4 linked regions of the Callithrix jacchus genome follow. The protein of the gene in region 3 purifies or fractionates together with the protein of the main gene of each other region. This does not show direct contact. Links are inferred from orthologs where the notes say so. Each region holds a gene or a part of one and is shown on either strand. Other genes may lie near its edges.

Region 1 (2,691 bases), on a different chromosome or scaffold from region 3:
TTACTGATCCCAACTTTTCCTCCACCCCTGTACAGAACTACAAGATTCTGCACAAATACGTGGCTTTGTATGCAACTCACTTGATCCGAGAGGGTAGCTCTGCCCAGGCATTGGCCCTGTATGTACATCACGGAGCCCCTGCTAACCCACAGGTACCTGCCTTCTTCTTGGGTTAAATGTTTCCACAAGGAAACTGTTTCTCCTCTCCTCTCAGGAACTATCTTCTCAGAGGATTCTATCCTTAGAGAACGTCATGTCCAGAGCCTGCCATGCATCTTCAGAAATGTACAGCCTCTCTGGAGGTTGTGTATTTGCTAAGAGCATGGAGAGAAGTTTGCAGAAACTTACAACTTCTGTTTAAAGAAACACCCTCCCAGCACTTTGGGAGGCCGAGGCGGGTGGATCACGAGGTCAAGAGATCAAGACCATCCTGGTCAACATGGTGAAACCCCGTCTCTACTAAAAATACAAAAAATTAGCTGGGCACAGTGGTGCGTGCCTGTAATTTCAGCTACTCAGGAGGATGAGGCAGAATTGCCTGAACACAGGAGGCAGAGGTTGTCGTGAGCCGAGATTGCACCATTGCACTCCAGCCTGGGTAACAAGAGCGAAACTCCGTCTCAAAAAGAAAAGAAAAGAAACACCCATGGAGCTCCCCATGCTGTTAGCAAATACACAGCCACCTGTCTTTCAGAGATGAATCCTACACACACCTCTAGGTTTTTTACTGACTTCCTCCAGAGAATGAACACTGCTCCCTGATCTGAGAGTCACAGCCCATTAATGTTGTAACTCTGTACTTACATTTGTACAGTTGCCCACTCACAGAGCACCAGCTAAAAAATAGTTATTTTCTTCCTCTTTTCTCTTCATCAAAAATAAACAGCACTTATGAATAATTCACTTCATTAAAAAAATCAGCACTTAATAATCTACCACTGTCTCCCAGCTCTTGAACACACACATAACTATTTCTACACACAAAGCCTGTCCCTTTTGCCCCACTTTCACTGACTTTCTCTTCTAGCTGTGCCCTTCTCAAATGCCCTTCTCCCCTCTACCTCTAGAACTTCAATATCTACAAAAGGATCTTCACTGACATGGTGAGCTCTCCTGGGACCAACTGCGCTGAGGCCTATCATAGCTGGGCTGATCTTCGAGATGTCCTTTTCAACCTGGTGAGGAAGTTGGGTTGACAAGAGTAAAAGGGCTGCTCTGCCTGTCCTTGTCTTCATCTCTTCTTTCATGCATGTAAACCTTTATTCTCAGATGTATTTTACCTTCCTCTGCCAGGTGGCCATCGGAGACCACTCTATGGCCTTGGCACTCCTCTGACCCCTGAGCCAGGCTGTGCTGTCTCCCTCTTCTAGTGTGAAAACCTGGTGAAGTCCAGTGAGGCAAACTCTCCAGCCCATGAGGAGTTCAAGACGATGCTGCTGATCGCTCATTACTATGCCACCCGCTCTGCAGCCCAGAGTGTCAAACAGCTGGTGAGATGTAGAGGGGGCAGAGGAGCACTCAGTCAGTTTCACACACTGCAGATGTATGAAACTGAATTGTCTCACATTCTGGATTCTTCAACTTAGGCTCTTGAATCTGCTCCCTCTCTTTCAGCTTCTCTTCTGTCTAAACAAATCTTTAGCCCTTGCTGAGGTTTTCTTCTCACCTTCTTAGGGCTCTGTGCCCACACAGCTCCAGCTTCATTATGTTTAAACATCCAAATCCCATGATTTCTTTATTCACCTCTTGTAATGTACACATATTTTGGGCTTATTTATGACTGTTTACTATATATTTATATCATGTACCTGGATAATAGAATTCTAGAAGTGGAAAGAACCTTAGAAAGAATCTAGGCAGCCAGGCACAGTGGCTCACACCTGTAATCCCAGCACTTTGGGAGGGGAGCCTTAGGTAGGTGGGCCACTTGAGGTCAGGGGTTCAAGACCAGCCTGGCCAACATGGCAAAATCCCATACTAAAAATATAAAAATTAACTTGGCATGATAGTGCACGCTTGTAGTCCTAACTTGGGAGGCTGAGGCATGAGAATTGCTTGAATCTGGGAGGCAGAAGTTGCAATGAGCTGAAATTGCACTCCAGCCTGGGCAACAGAGTAAGACTCTATTTAAAAAAAAAAAAAAAAAAAAAATTGAAACTAGGCCCAGGTCTCTTATTCAGAAAAAAATAAATAAATAAAAATAAGACCCAGAACAGCTCGAGCTCCAGAGCAGTATAATATTGCTTGTTGTTTTTAGTTCTGTGGCTGCTTTACAGGATCATTGGTCTGTAGCTCAGTCACTTTAGTGCCGTATTCATAATGCTTTGACTTTAATCCCAGGAAACTGTGGCTGCCAGGCTTTCTGTTTCACTCTTGCGTCACACCCAGCTACTACCTGTAGACAAAGCCTTCTATGAAGCAGGCATTGCTGCCAAGGTGAGCTGGGACAAGGAAGGGTGGGGCAGATGGGAGGAAGTCAAAGGTTGGAAAATAGAGAATATCCCTTCTGCTCAGGTAGCAGAAAGCTGAGTGTAGGGCTGAAGTTGTGGAGGATATAATCCTCCTATGTCTTCCTGGATTTTTCTCCTGCATCCCAGAGAAGTAACATCCAGGCCCAGCTTGCTCACTCCCATTTGCAACTTTTCTCTGCTGCAGGCAGTTGGCTGGGAGAACATGGCATTCATCTTCCTC
Region 2 (4,356 bases), on a different chromosome or scaffold from region 3:
TTGTTAAAATGGCAAATTTTATGTTATGTATATTTCACCACAATAAACAAACAGAAACCCTGGATGTCATCCTTGATTCCTAACTCACGAGTTAAAACCAGTCCAGCAAGTCTTAGTGATTCTACGACCATCTGTCTGGTATAGCATTTGCCTCTTTTCCTTATTCTCAACTTCCTCACCAGAGGCCAAGCCACTATCATCTCAACTCAGCCATCCCAACAGTCCATTCCACACACGACAGCAACACAGCCTCCAAAGCTCTGCTTGTTATGCCTCCTGCCCTACCTCTCTGATCTGACTGTATCACACAGTAGAGTCCCCTCTACTGTAAACTGGTCTCTCAGGTCCTCAAACTAAGCCAAGTTCTTTCAGGCTTCAAGGTTTTTCACATCTCACATATTATTTCCTCTTCCTGGCCTACTTTTCCTCAGTGTCTGGATTCTTGCCATCTTTCAGTCTCACATAGCGCCCCTTTAGATCTTCCCTGATCACCCTATCAAAAGTGGGTCTCTGGCTGGGCGGGATGGCTAATGCCTGTGATCCCAGCACTTTGGGAAGCTGAGGTGGGAGATCGCTTGAGGTCAGGAGTCCAAGACCAGCCTGGCCAACACGGTGAAACCCCGTCTCTACTAAAAATACAAAAATTAGCTGGGCGTGGTAATGCCAGCTACTCGGAAGGCTGAGGCGGGAGGATTGCTTGAAATCAGGAGGCGGAGGTTGTAGCGAGCCGAGATTGCACCACTGCACTCTAGCTTGGGCGATACAGTGAGACTCTATCTCAAAAAAGTGTGGGTCTCCTTCCTCACTGTTATTCTCCTTCACAGCAAACAATCTTCCTCCATCAGAGCACTTTCCACATTTGGAATTTGTTTACTCATTTGTCATTTGCCTCCCATGACTACAAGCATTGAGATAGCAGGGACATTGTGTCATTTAACACTATTTACCCAAGTGCCAGGCATAAGGCTGGCACATAGTAGGCATTTTAAAATTTTAGGCAAGATGGCTCACACCTGTAATCCTGGCACTTTGGGAGGCCGAAGTGGAAGGACTGCATGAGGCTAGGAGTTCAAGATCAGCCTCGGCAACATAGCAAGACCTCGTCTCTATAAAATTAAGAAAAAAAAAATTTGTTGAATAAATAAATCGTGTCCAGTCCTCTAAAAATATTTCACTGTGATTTGGGTTGGGGATGCAGGCTAAGGGCAGATTATGAAGCATCTTCAAAGCTGGGGAAAACATAAGTTAAAAAAAAAAAAAAAGAACAGTGAATTCCTGGCAGATAGTGAGCAAAGCAGTAACATGAAGTAAATGGTGATAGGGTTGGATTGGGGGAAAATCCTGTAATTTGGAAGGCTATGATTTTTCCACCTTAACTAGTAAGAAAACAAACAATAGCAAGTGAAGTAACTTGACTCTGAAAAGTCAACATATGCTATTATAAAATAGGAACTTCGGCCAGGCGCAGTGGCTCACGCCTGTAATCCCAGCACTTTGGGACGCTGAGGAGGGTGGATCACCTGAGGTCAGGAGTTCAAGACCAGCCTGGCAAACATGATGAAACCCCATCGCCACAAAACTACAAAAAAAAAAAAAAAAAAAAACTTAGCCAGGCATGGAAGGATGTGCCCGTAGTCCCAGCTACTCAGGAGGCTGAGGCCAGAGAATCGTGTGAACCTGGCAGGCGGAGGTTGCAGTGAGCTGAGATTGCACCACTGCACACCAGCCTGGGCAACAGAGGGAGACTCCGTTTCAAAAAAATAATAAATTTAAAATAAAATAAAATAAGAACTTCTTGAAGACAACTGTGAATCCATCCTGTTCTTTGAGTACCATTTCTCTTCCTTTTCATTCCTTTCTTACCTTGGTGTCTTGGGGTTGGAGTATAAATACTTGCAACCTCTTCTGAGTCGTTAATCTCTAGACGCTCATCATATGTCTGGTTTTCAACAACCTCGGTCTAAGCAAAAGGAGACACGATTACATAGCTCCTATCATGGGACATTATATATTCCAAACCAGCATTGGCTCCTCTTCCTTACCCAAGAAACCAGTTTTTCATAAAACTGTCACCCCATCAAACTTTCCTTAAGGCTTCTTGGCCCCCGGTTAAGCAGTTAAGTCATTCTGTTGCAGCCCTTATTTAAGAATTGCTGGCAGGCTGGCTGAGCAACCAGGGAATCGTGGAGGGAAAGAGAGCCAACTTCTGCAGCTTGCCAAAGCTGTAAGACCACGCGCAAGGGCAGAACACTATTCGTAAGTCGATGGCCAAGGCTGATGAGGTTTCTCCGGGGAGGCTGCAGAGGTCCTAGGAAGAGTTTTGTCTCTGGAGCCAGCTGTGGGGTGGGGTGGGGTGGGGAGGGAGGGACCCCAAAAAGAGGGGAAACTCCAGTCTCTCAGTCCGATCCAATAATCCCAAAAGCATCACCTCCACCTTCACCCTCGACTTGCAGATAAGATCCCACCTAAGTCTGGTGGGGAATAAAGGAAACAGGATGGTTGGTCACGGTGGCAAAGGAACAGTTATCATGGAGATGGGAAGAGGTAACCGGGGATGGGGTAAAGGGGAGTCCTCTTAAGCCCCTCTAGAAAGACAGTACCCTTTCTGCTGGGGTGAGTACTAATTACCTGTAGCCCCTCTGAATCCGTCTCCTCTATAATGGAAAGAACCCCAGCCTAGGGCTGGGGTATCACTCCAGTGTCAAAGTCGGGCCACTTAGATTCTACGCCGAGCAACTGCCTGTTTTCAGTCGCTAGGTAAAAAGGTTAAGTTGAAATTCGCGAGATTTGCTTCCACTCTCGTGAGACCTCCCGCACGTTACGCCTCACCCGCGAAGGCTGTCTACGCAGGAAGAAGATCCAGAGGGCACGAATAAAGCCTCTCTGGGCGGCCATGTCGCGTTTGTCTATGGTTTCAGTAAATGCGTCTGTTGCGGCATCTAGCGGCTGCGGATGGCAACGCCGGCTGATGAAGTTTCGGGCTCGCAGAGTTAGCTCTGCAATCTGGAAACTGAGTGCGTTTGTTTCACCCAGGGCAACAATCTCTGGGGGTGCAGTTCCTCCTAATCAGTCTTACCAGAATGTAGACACACTCTCCAGGGAAAATTCTGCAGCACTCTGTACAGCACTATGTTACAATATAGTCTCCCCCACCACATGGTGCCATGGCATGGCACATAATTATACTAATAAGTTATTCCTTGTGTATCTGAGGTTCCTTTTTTTTTTTTTTTTTTTTTTGAGACGGAGTTTCGCTCTTGTTACCCAGGCTGGAGTGCAATGGCGCGATCTCGGCTCACCGCAACCTCCGTCTCCTGGGTTCAAGCAATTCTCCTGCCTCAGCCTCCCGAGTAGCTGGGACTACAGGCGTGCACCACCATGCCCAGCTAATTTTTGTATTTTTAGTAGAGACGGGGTTTCACCTTGCTGACCAGCATGGTCTTGATCTCTTGACCTCGTGATCCACCCGCCTCAGCCTCCCAAAGTACTGGGATTATAGGCGTGAGCCACAGCTCCTGGCCTCAGTGTTTTTTTGTTTTGTTTTTTGTTTTTGTTTGTTTGTTTTTTGAGACAGTCTCGCTCCGTCGCCCAGGCTGGGGTGCAGTGGCGCAATCTCGGCTCACTGCAACCTCTGCCTCTCAGGTTCAAGCAATTCTCCTGCCTCAACCTCCTGAGTAGCTGGGATTACAGGCACGCAACACCACGCCTAGCTAATTTTTGTTAGTAGAGACGGGGTTTCACCATGTTGGTCAGGCTGGTCTCAAACTCCTGACCTCGTGATCCACCTGCCTCGGTTTCCTAAAGTGCTGGGATTACAGGCGTGGGCCACCTCGCCGGGCTCTGAGATTCAAATTTAACTATGTGTCCTTTCTTATTTGCTAAAGAAAACTGAATTTATTTAAAGCAGGATTTGTGTCTAATTAATTTTTAAACTTTGTAACACCAGTACCTTGCAGAAATTAGACACTAAAAATGCTCCTTGGGTGGATGAATCAAAGAATAAGTGAATGGAGATGTAAGGAACAAATATTTTCAAACTATAGATATAATTAATTTGGGAAGTCAGGGAGAGAGAGACATAAAATACTGGAGGCCGGGGGTGGGGGGTGGCTCATGCCGGTAATCCCAGCACTTCCAGAGGCAGAGCTGGGAAGACTGCTTGAGTCCAGGAGTTCAAGACTAGCTAGAGCAACATAGCGAAAACCACCTTCGCCATTAAAAAAAAAAAAAAAAAGTACTTGGTGGCACGCACCTGTAGTACCAGCCACTCCGGAAGCTGAGGCAGAAGGATTGCTTGAGCCTGGGAGGCAGAGGTTGTAGTGAACTGAGATTGGGCCACTACATTCACTCCAGCCT
Region 3 (3,569 bases):
TTGAACGGCCTCAAGAATGTGATGACCCTAATGCAACAACATCTAACATACTTTCCGAGCTTAGGTCATTTGTAAGTGTAAACGACCATTCTTTCTCCATATTCTCAAGTTATGAATTTTAATATTGGTAATTTAATAACAAATGCTAGCCATTTAGATGAATTCTCTGTAAATATAATTAGTATGAATTCATTTTGAGGTAAAGCCTCAAAATAGTTAATATTATAACATTAATGTCACTCCTGAAAATGTTCAGTGTATACTCTTTATTAGCCCAAAGTAGTATTTTTTTAAAAAAATCTTGATGTGTCTGAGAGTTAGACTTTTGGGTGGTTAATTCTTGATCTAAAAAATGATAATTAAACCCTATAAAATCAAAACACTTTCTATACTGAAAGGGAACGTGGACTTAAAGACCGTGATAGCAGTGTACTTTTTCATTTCTGACTTTTCCTGGGCAAGCAGTAAGATATTTTTGGCACAAATGTTCCTAATTTTTGACAAGTGAATCATTCTGTCCTTAAACATAGTTGTTTAAATGGTTTTACTGGTTTCATTTTCCCTCTAGTAAGATCAATAATTAGACTAGAAAACACTAGAACTTATTCCTCCTAACTGTAATTTTGTACTCACCCACATCAATATGCAATATGCTATGATGTTATTACCTTTTAATTTCAGACCTTTAACAATAAAAGTATTTCCAGTACTTTTATGTATCAATGGATTACAAAGACTTAAAATGGATTTCTAAGAAACAATGTAATTACAGTTATTGTAAATCTTTGAAAGAAAAGTGATACATCTATTCAGCAGTTCTTTGCTTAAAATATTTTGATATTTGGAGTATAACTAACTAATAACACCCTGTTTTATCTTTTGTTTTTCAGGGGAGAACTGCAGATTTTCCTCCTTCAAAATTAAAGTCAGGTTGTGGAGAACCTGTATGCTATGTTCTTGATTGCTTAGCTGAAGAAGCATTGAAATATATTGGTTTCACCTGGAAAAGGTAAAAACTACCCAACCTGATAATAGTAATTTTGTGTGCAAAGCGTTTTCCTCTGAGGGTGCAGAGATGTTCAATTAAACATAAAATAATTATTTCTTTTTGACTATTCTAAATTGAAAATGGCACAGATAATTAAGAAAAGCCAGTATAGACAAAATTAGGATGTCTGATGTCTTGAAGATTAATTCTGAAGTAAGGCGTTACATATTATTGTGCCTCTTCCCTATTCAAATATGTAATTATTGAAGGTTTAACTGTGACTATATATCTTTGTAAATTCTGATATTTTTAAAAAGTCTCTCGTACATATATTTATACACACAAACATAGTATGTACACGGCGGGAACTGATAGCTACAGATTTAAGGAAAAACTGGAAATTAATATAGTACTTTAAGTGGGATTTTCTCCTTTACTTAAGTTACTGGGCAGGAATAATGAGGAAAGTACCTGACCCTCTCCTAGACATTGGTCATTGCTTTCGTGTCCAACTTGACAGTGCTTTGTTTATTTCTCTTATTATATTGCATTTATTCTATGGTATTAAAATGGTTATTTCTTTACTGTTCTGACGTTCTTGCTAGAAATCATGAAATCTTCGCAAGTACTCTGGAAGTTAGCATAATGCGTGGTGTATCTTAGATGTTTAATAGATATTGAGCATATAGATGAAACAAAACATTTGAAAACTCAATTTAAAGAGATTATAATTAGAAAATATAAATTTTATGCTCTGCAGTTTGGGATTATTAATAGGTTAGAATGTAGAAGGCACTACGCAGGTAAAATGTGAGTGAGCAATGTTTTCTTAATTAGAACTAACTTCTGTAGAAAGATATATATATGTCTTTATATATGTATATATATATAGAAATATATATATATACACATATATATATTATTTCCTGTTAACATTTTAATGTATATTCAGTTATATTCTTTTAGATACAATCTCCCTATTAAGTTTCTTTAATAACTTCCTTGAATTAGCTTATTGGGATGAGCCATATAAAATTACTCATATTCATCTATTTTTAAACTAAAAAATGGCAATTTCATATGCTTCAATCCAAACATGCAAGAGAAGATAAGTTACGAGATGTATTTAGCATTTTCAAAAGTTACTGAATCCATATCCCAGTATATTGTAAATTCACCAGAAGCTATTGTGTAGAGTCTCAACCACTAGTCTATTTTGCACTTCCTTTGTTTCCTGCCACAACTTATTCCTGGCCTATGTATTGTAATTTGGATAATTTATTTTTTAGTTTTGTTTTTAATTGACACATAATAACTGTAAATTTTGGGGTACAGTGTGATGTTTCAATACATGTATGCAATATACAATGATCACATTAGTGACATTAACGTATCCATCATTTCAAACATTTATCATTTGTTTGTGGTGAGACCACTCTAAATCTCTTTAAGCTATTTTCAAATATATAATATATTATTGTTAACTAATATATAATATTGTTAACTGTAGTCACCCTTCTGTGCACTGGAACACTAGACCTTACTTTGTACTCACCCACTTTGACCAACTGCTCCCCATTCTCCTTTCCCCCTACCCTTCCCAGCTTATTGTAACCCCTGTTATACTCTCCACTTCTGCGATATTTGTATTTCTGTGCCTAGCTTATTTCACTTGACATAATGTCCTCCAGGCTTATATGGGTTGCTGCAAATGACAGAATTTCGTTCTCCCTTATGAATAGTATTCCACTATGTAAATATGCCACACTTTCTTTCTCCATTCAACCTTTGATGGATACTTAGGTTGGATTCCATATCTTGAGTATTGTGAATAGTGCTGCAGTGAACATCGGAGTGCAGATATCTCTAACATACTGATTTCTTTTTTTTTTTTTTTTTTTTGGATATATAATCAGTACTGGGAGTGATTGCTGGATCATAGAGTAGTTGTATTTTTAGTGTTCTGAGGAACCTCCACAGTGTTCTCCATAGTGGCTGTACTAATACTGTACATACCCACCAATAGTGTACAAGGGTTCCCGTTTCTCCATATCCTCACCAGCTTTTGTTATTTGTGGGGGCGAGGGGTTGAGTAACAGCTGTTCTAACTGGGGTGAGATGGTATCTCATTGTGGTTTTGATTTGCATTTCCCTGATGATGTTGGGCATTTTTACATGTATCTGTTGGCTATTTTTATGCAAGTTTTGAGAAATATCTATTAAGATTTTCTGCCCATTTTCCAAATTGGACTACTTAGTTTCTTTGTTGTTGTTTTGCTACTGAGTTGCTTGAGTTTATTATACATACTGGGTGTTAACTTCTTGTCAGATGGGTGGTTTGCAGATATCTTCCCCCATTCTGTGGGTTGTCTCTTCACTCTTGATTGTTTCCTTAAGTTTGATATAATCGTGTTTGTCTATTTTTGCTTTTGTTGCCTGTGCTTTTGAGGTCTTATCCAACAAATTCTTGTCCAGACAATGTCGTGAAGTGTTTTTCCCCACATTTTCTCTAGCATCTTCAGTTTCAGGTTGTATATTTAAGTCTTTAATCCCTTTTGAGTTGGTTTTTGTAAGTGGTTAG
Region 4 (3,569 bases), on a different chromosome or scaffold from region 3:
AAATATTAACAATTTTACTTGTTGATTTAGCGTTTACAATATTGAAAATGAATACTTCTGAAAGATATACTGTTGCTAAATTAATTTATGTTTGTCCTGAAGGTATTTTGTGCTTAGAAAGATTCAAATTGAGGTAATCCCAGCACTTTGGGAGGCCAAGGTGAGAGAATAATTTGAACTCAGAAATTTGAGAGCAGTCTGGCTGACTTAGCAGGACCTTGTCTCTGCTCAAAATAAAAAAATAAGAATGTTAGTTAGGCATGGTGTTGTGTGCCTTTAGTCCCAGATACTTGGGAGGCTGAGGTTGGGGAATGGCTTGAGCTAAGAAGTTGGAGCCTGTAGTGAGGCATGATTGTATCATAGTCCAGCCTGGGTGGAAAGTCATGTGGTGTCAAGAAAGAGGAAAGTTGAGAGAGAGAGAGAGAGAGAGAGAGAGAGAGGGAGAGGGAGAGAAAAGGAGGAGGAGGAGGGGGAGGGGGAAGGGGAGGAGAAGGAGGAGGAGGCGGAGGCGGGGGAGAGAGAAGAAAGGAGGGAGAGAGGGATTCAAATTGTGGAGAGAGGGATTCAGATTGTAAAGGTACTTGTATTCTGTTGAGTTTCAACTCTGTGGTTTACTTATTTTTATGACACCATCATCCGTGGAGGAGGGAGAAGGGAGGGAAGGAGGGAGAACAAAGGAGGGAGGGAAGGATTCAAACTGTAAAGATACCACCAAGTTGTATATTCTATTGAGTTTCAACTTCTTGTTTACTTATTTTTTTGACACCATCATCAGTGGTTTTATTGCCAAGTTGTAACAGGAGCAAAGTGCTCAGAGCATCAAAAAGACCTGACACCTGGACATTATATGGCCTTTAGGAAATCAGTTGACGTTTCTTATGCCGTAATTTCTCCTATGTAAAATGGAATGCTTTACTACAACATTAGTTCTCATCTAACTACATTGTGGGAAGAAACATTGTTGGTAGTCAGTAATCAAGTTTAAAATGAATTAGTTCCAAAAGATGAATTCCACTGGGCTTCAGTATCCTTAATCTATGAAATAAAGAGATTGAAATACATATTTTCCTCTTTCAAATTCTGTGAGCTCATATACCTATGCAAATTGTAGCAGAAGCTCATATACCTATACAAATTGTAGCAGCAGGAAACACGTTTGTTATACTGTTGAAATTGAAGCTCCAATTGAAGATATCACTTCTCCGACAAAAATAAATAAATTGAGGCAAAAATAAATTGAAATTCCAGGTTGTCTGTTTTATTATGTTCATCTTTTACTTGGTTATTTTGGAGATTTTTTTTGTAGAGAAATTTCTGAATTTAGGTTGTTTATTCTAATAGTAGGATATGAATGTGTAGAAGTTGTATAGGGGATATGTGGATCTACAGCCTTATTTGGTGATTCTGAAAACTGCAGAGGTTGGTATCTGTGAGTGAAAGAGAGTAAATAGTGATAGGTGAATCAGATTTTGAATCCCAAAATGGAAATTAATGATCTTGGGACTAAAAATGTATGTTGAATCAAGCTTTTTATAAAATGTGAATCTTTTTTTTTTTTTAGGTGGAGTTTTGCTCTTGTTACCCAGGCTGGAGTGCAATGGCGTCATCTCTGCTCACTGCAACCTCCGCCTCCTGGGTTCAGGCAGTTCTCCTGCCTCAGCCTCCTGAGTAGCTGGGATTACAGGCACGCACCACCATGCCCAGCTAATTTTTTGTGTTTTTAGTAGAGACGGGGTTTCACCATGTTGACCAGGATGGTCTCGATCTCTTGACCTCGTGATCCACCCCCCTCGGCCTCCCAAAGTGCTGGGATTACAGGCTTGAACCCGGCTAAAATGTGAATCTTGAAAGTATTTAGATAAGTGGCATCTTACCTATTTTTTTTGCAGAATTTTTCTCCACCTTATCAGTAATTGACCTTCCCTAGGCAATAAGTGACATGTCATTGGTATTTCTTTGGATTCTATAATAAAAATGGTTATTGCTTCTAATTAATTTCGCTATTACTACTTTTATATGATTACGTGTGTAATCTTTCAGTTATTTTTTAGAGACAGTAGCTTAATATTTTGCCGTGCTAAAAAATAGCAATAGTTTGTGAAATAGCAACGTTAACTAAAGCAGTAAGTAAAAGAGAATTTAAGCAAGTATATTACTAATCTAAAGCCATAATTTTTAAAAAATTGAATTGAACTGTAGATTTCTCTACTCCCTAGTTCTGTCAGAGCTGCACTGCATGATTTACATAGCAAACTGCTATACGATACTTAATTTGGTCAAAAAATTTTATGGCTGACGGATGCTTGAAAACCACAATTCTAAAACTTCTTGTCTAAACTTTAAAGGTACGATTTTAAAAATGTATAAATGCATCCTCATATATATAAGTTATTAAGGATTTTCTCTGATAATCTTTGTGATTTCTTAGTAAAGTAAAATGGAGAGTAAGGAAGTAGAGGAATTTGGGGATGGAGAAGAGAAAGATGTAAAGTAAGTTTGTGCTAATGGGGCCAAATTTTATATAGGTCAAATAGCATTTTTTAGTACAAATATAAAGACTTTTCAGTCACACACTATGGTTGAATATCTTTAAGTATTCTGTTAAATTAGGACTGTGACTTGTGTAAAATAATTGGATTTTTTTTTTCAGTATTGCATCAGGAGTATTATGTGCTTTTGATTTCAGGAAAGAAAAACAAATAAGAAGCGTAGAAGAAGAAATTGAACAGGAAAAACAAGCAGCAGATGACATTATCAAAAATATGTCTCTTGAAAACCAAGTCAAGTACCTGGAGATGAAAACCACAAATGAGAAACTATTACAGGTGATAGCAATTCCTACTGTGTGCCAAGCACATATCAGTCTTGCTACTAAAAGTATAGTTTAAATGTCAGCAGCATCAGCATCCCGTGAGCACTTGACTAGACTTTGAGATCAGAGTTTTCATTTTAACAGGGTCCCCAGCTGATTCATACAGACATTCATATTTGAGAAGTATTTATTTAGAAAACGTAATTTTCTTACACTGCTTGACGACCTAGCTTTTACTCTAATTATTTTTTGTTCACTTCCGTTTATTCATTTTGCATTTCATAAAGATGCATGAAATACTTGCATTTATTAAAAATACTTGTCTAGGCCGGGCGCGGTGGCTCACGCCTATAATCCTAGCACTTTGGGAGGCCGAGGCGGGTGGATCACGAGGTCAAGAGATCGAGACCATCCTGGTCAACAAGGTGAAACCCTGTCTCTACTAAAAATGGAAAAATTAGCTGGGCACAGTGGTGCATGCCTGTAGTCCCAGCTACTCAGGAGGCTAAGGCAGGAGAATCGCTTGAACCCAGAAGGCGGAGGTTGTGGTGAGCCGAGATCGTGCCATTGCACTCCAGTCTAGGTAACAACAGCGAAACTCCGTCTCAAAAAAAAACTTGTCTATAAATACTTGCACTTATAAAAATACTTGCCTATAAATTTTAAAAGTCTATGACGTATGAGGCCTTTTAACATTTTAATGCAATCATTAAGAGGCATCATAGGTCACAGGTGGAGGTTGCAGTGAGCCGAGATT

The links.
Region 1: the proteins of IFT57 (region 3) and IFT172 purify together in Homo sapiens (affinity purification with mass spectrometry; 3 studies listed by BioGRID and IntAct, counting the BioPlex papers as one, with this or other methods). This does not show direct contact. The link is inferred for Callithrix jacchus from reciprocal best matches to the Homo sapiens genes IFT57 and IFT172.
Region 2: the proteins of IFT57 (region 3) and IFT46 purify together in Homo sapiens (affinity purification with mass spectrometry; 3 studies listed by BioGRID and IntAct, counting the BioPlex papers as one, with this or other methods). This does not show direct contact. The link is inferred for Callithrix jacchus from reciprocal best matches to the Homo sapiens genes IFT57 and IFT46.
Region 4: the proteins of IFT57 (region 3) and IFT74 purify together in Homo sapiens (affinity purification with mass spectrometry; 3 studies listed by BioGRID and IntAct, counting the BioPlex papers as one, with this or other methods). This does not show direct contact. The link is inferred for Callithrix jacchus from reciprocal best matches to the Homo sapiens genes IFT57 and IFT74.

Annotation. Positions count from the first base shown.
Region 1 is NC_133515.1:87,579,219-87,581,909, forward strand, and holds part of IFT172 (intraflagellar transport protein 172 homolog), read left to right. Parts: intron 1-35; coding exon 36-152; intron 153-1,067; coding exon 1,068-1,178; intron 1,179-1,370; coding exon 1,371-1,490; intron 1,491-2,340; coding exon 2,341-2,436; intron 2,437-2,655; coding exon 2,656-2,691. UniProt on the Homo sapiens protein: Required for the maintenance and formation of cilia. Plays an indirect role in hedgehog (Hh) signaling, cilia being required for all activity of the hedgehog pathway.
Region 2 is NC_133511.1:18,216,093-18,220,448, forward strand, and holds the start of IFT46 (intraflagellar transport protein 46 homolog), read right to left. Parts: upstream 2,841-4,356; 5' UTR 2,629-2,840; intron 1,961-2,628; 5' UTR 1,864-1,960; intron 1,107-1,863; 5' UTR 1,014-1,106; intron 1-1,013. UniProt on the Homo sapiens protein: Forms part of a complex involved in intraflagellar transport (IFT), the bi-directional movement of particles required for the assembly, maintenance and functioning of primary cilia. May play a role in chondrocyte maturation and skeletogenesis.
Region 3 is NC_133516.1:99,272,781-99,276,349, reverse strand, and holds part of IFT57 (intraflagellar transport protein 57 homolog), read left to right. Parts: coding exon 1-71; intron 72-890; coding exon 891-1,009; intron 1,010-3,569. UniProt on the Homo sapiens protein: Required for the formation of cilia. Plays an indirect role in sonic hedgehog signaling, cilia being required for all activity of the hedgehog pathway.
Region 4 is NC_133502.1:134,177,586-134,181,154, forward strand, and holds part of IFT74 (intraflagellar transport protein 74 homolog), read left to right. Parts: intron 1-2,686; coding exon 2,687-2,825; intron 2,826-3,569. UniProt on the Homo sapiens protein: Component of the intraflagellar transport (IFT) complex B: together with IFT81, forms a tubulin-binding module that specifically mediates transport of tubulin within the cilium. Binds beta-tubulin via its basic region. Required for ciliogenesis.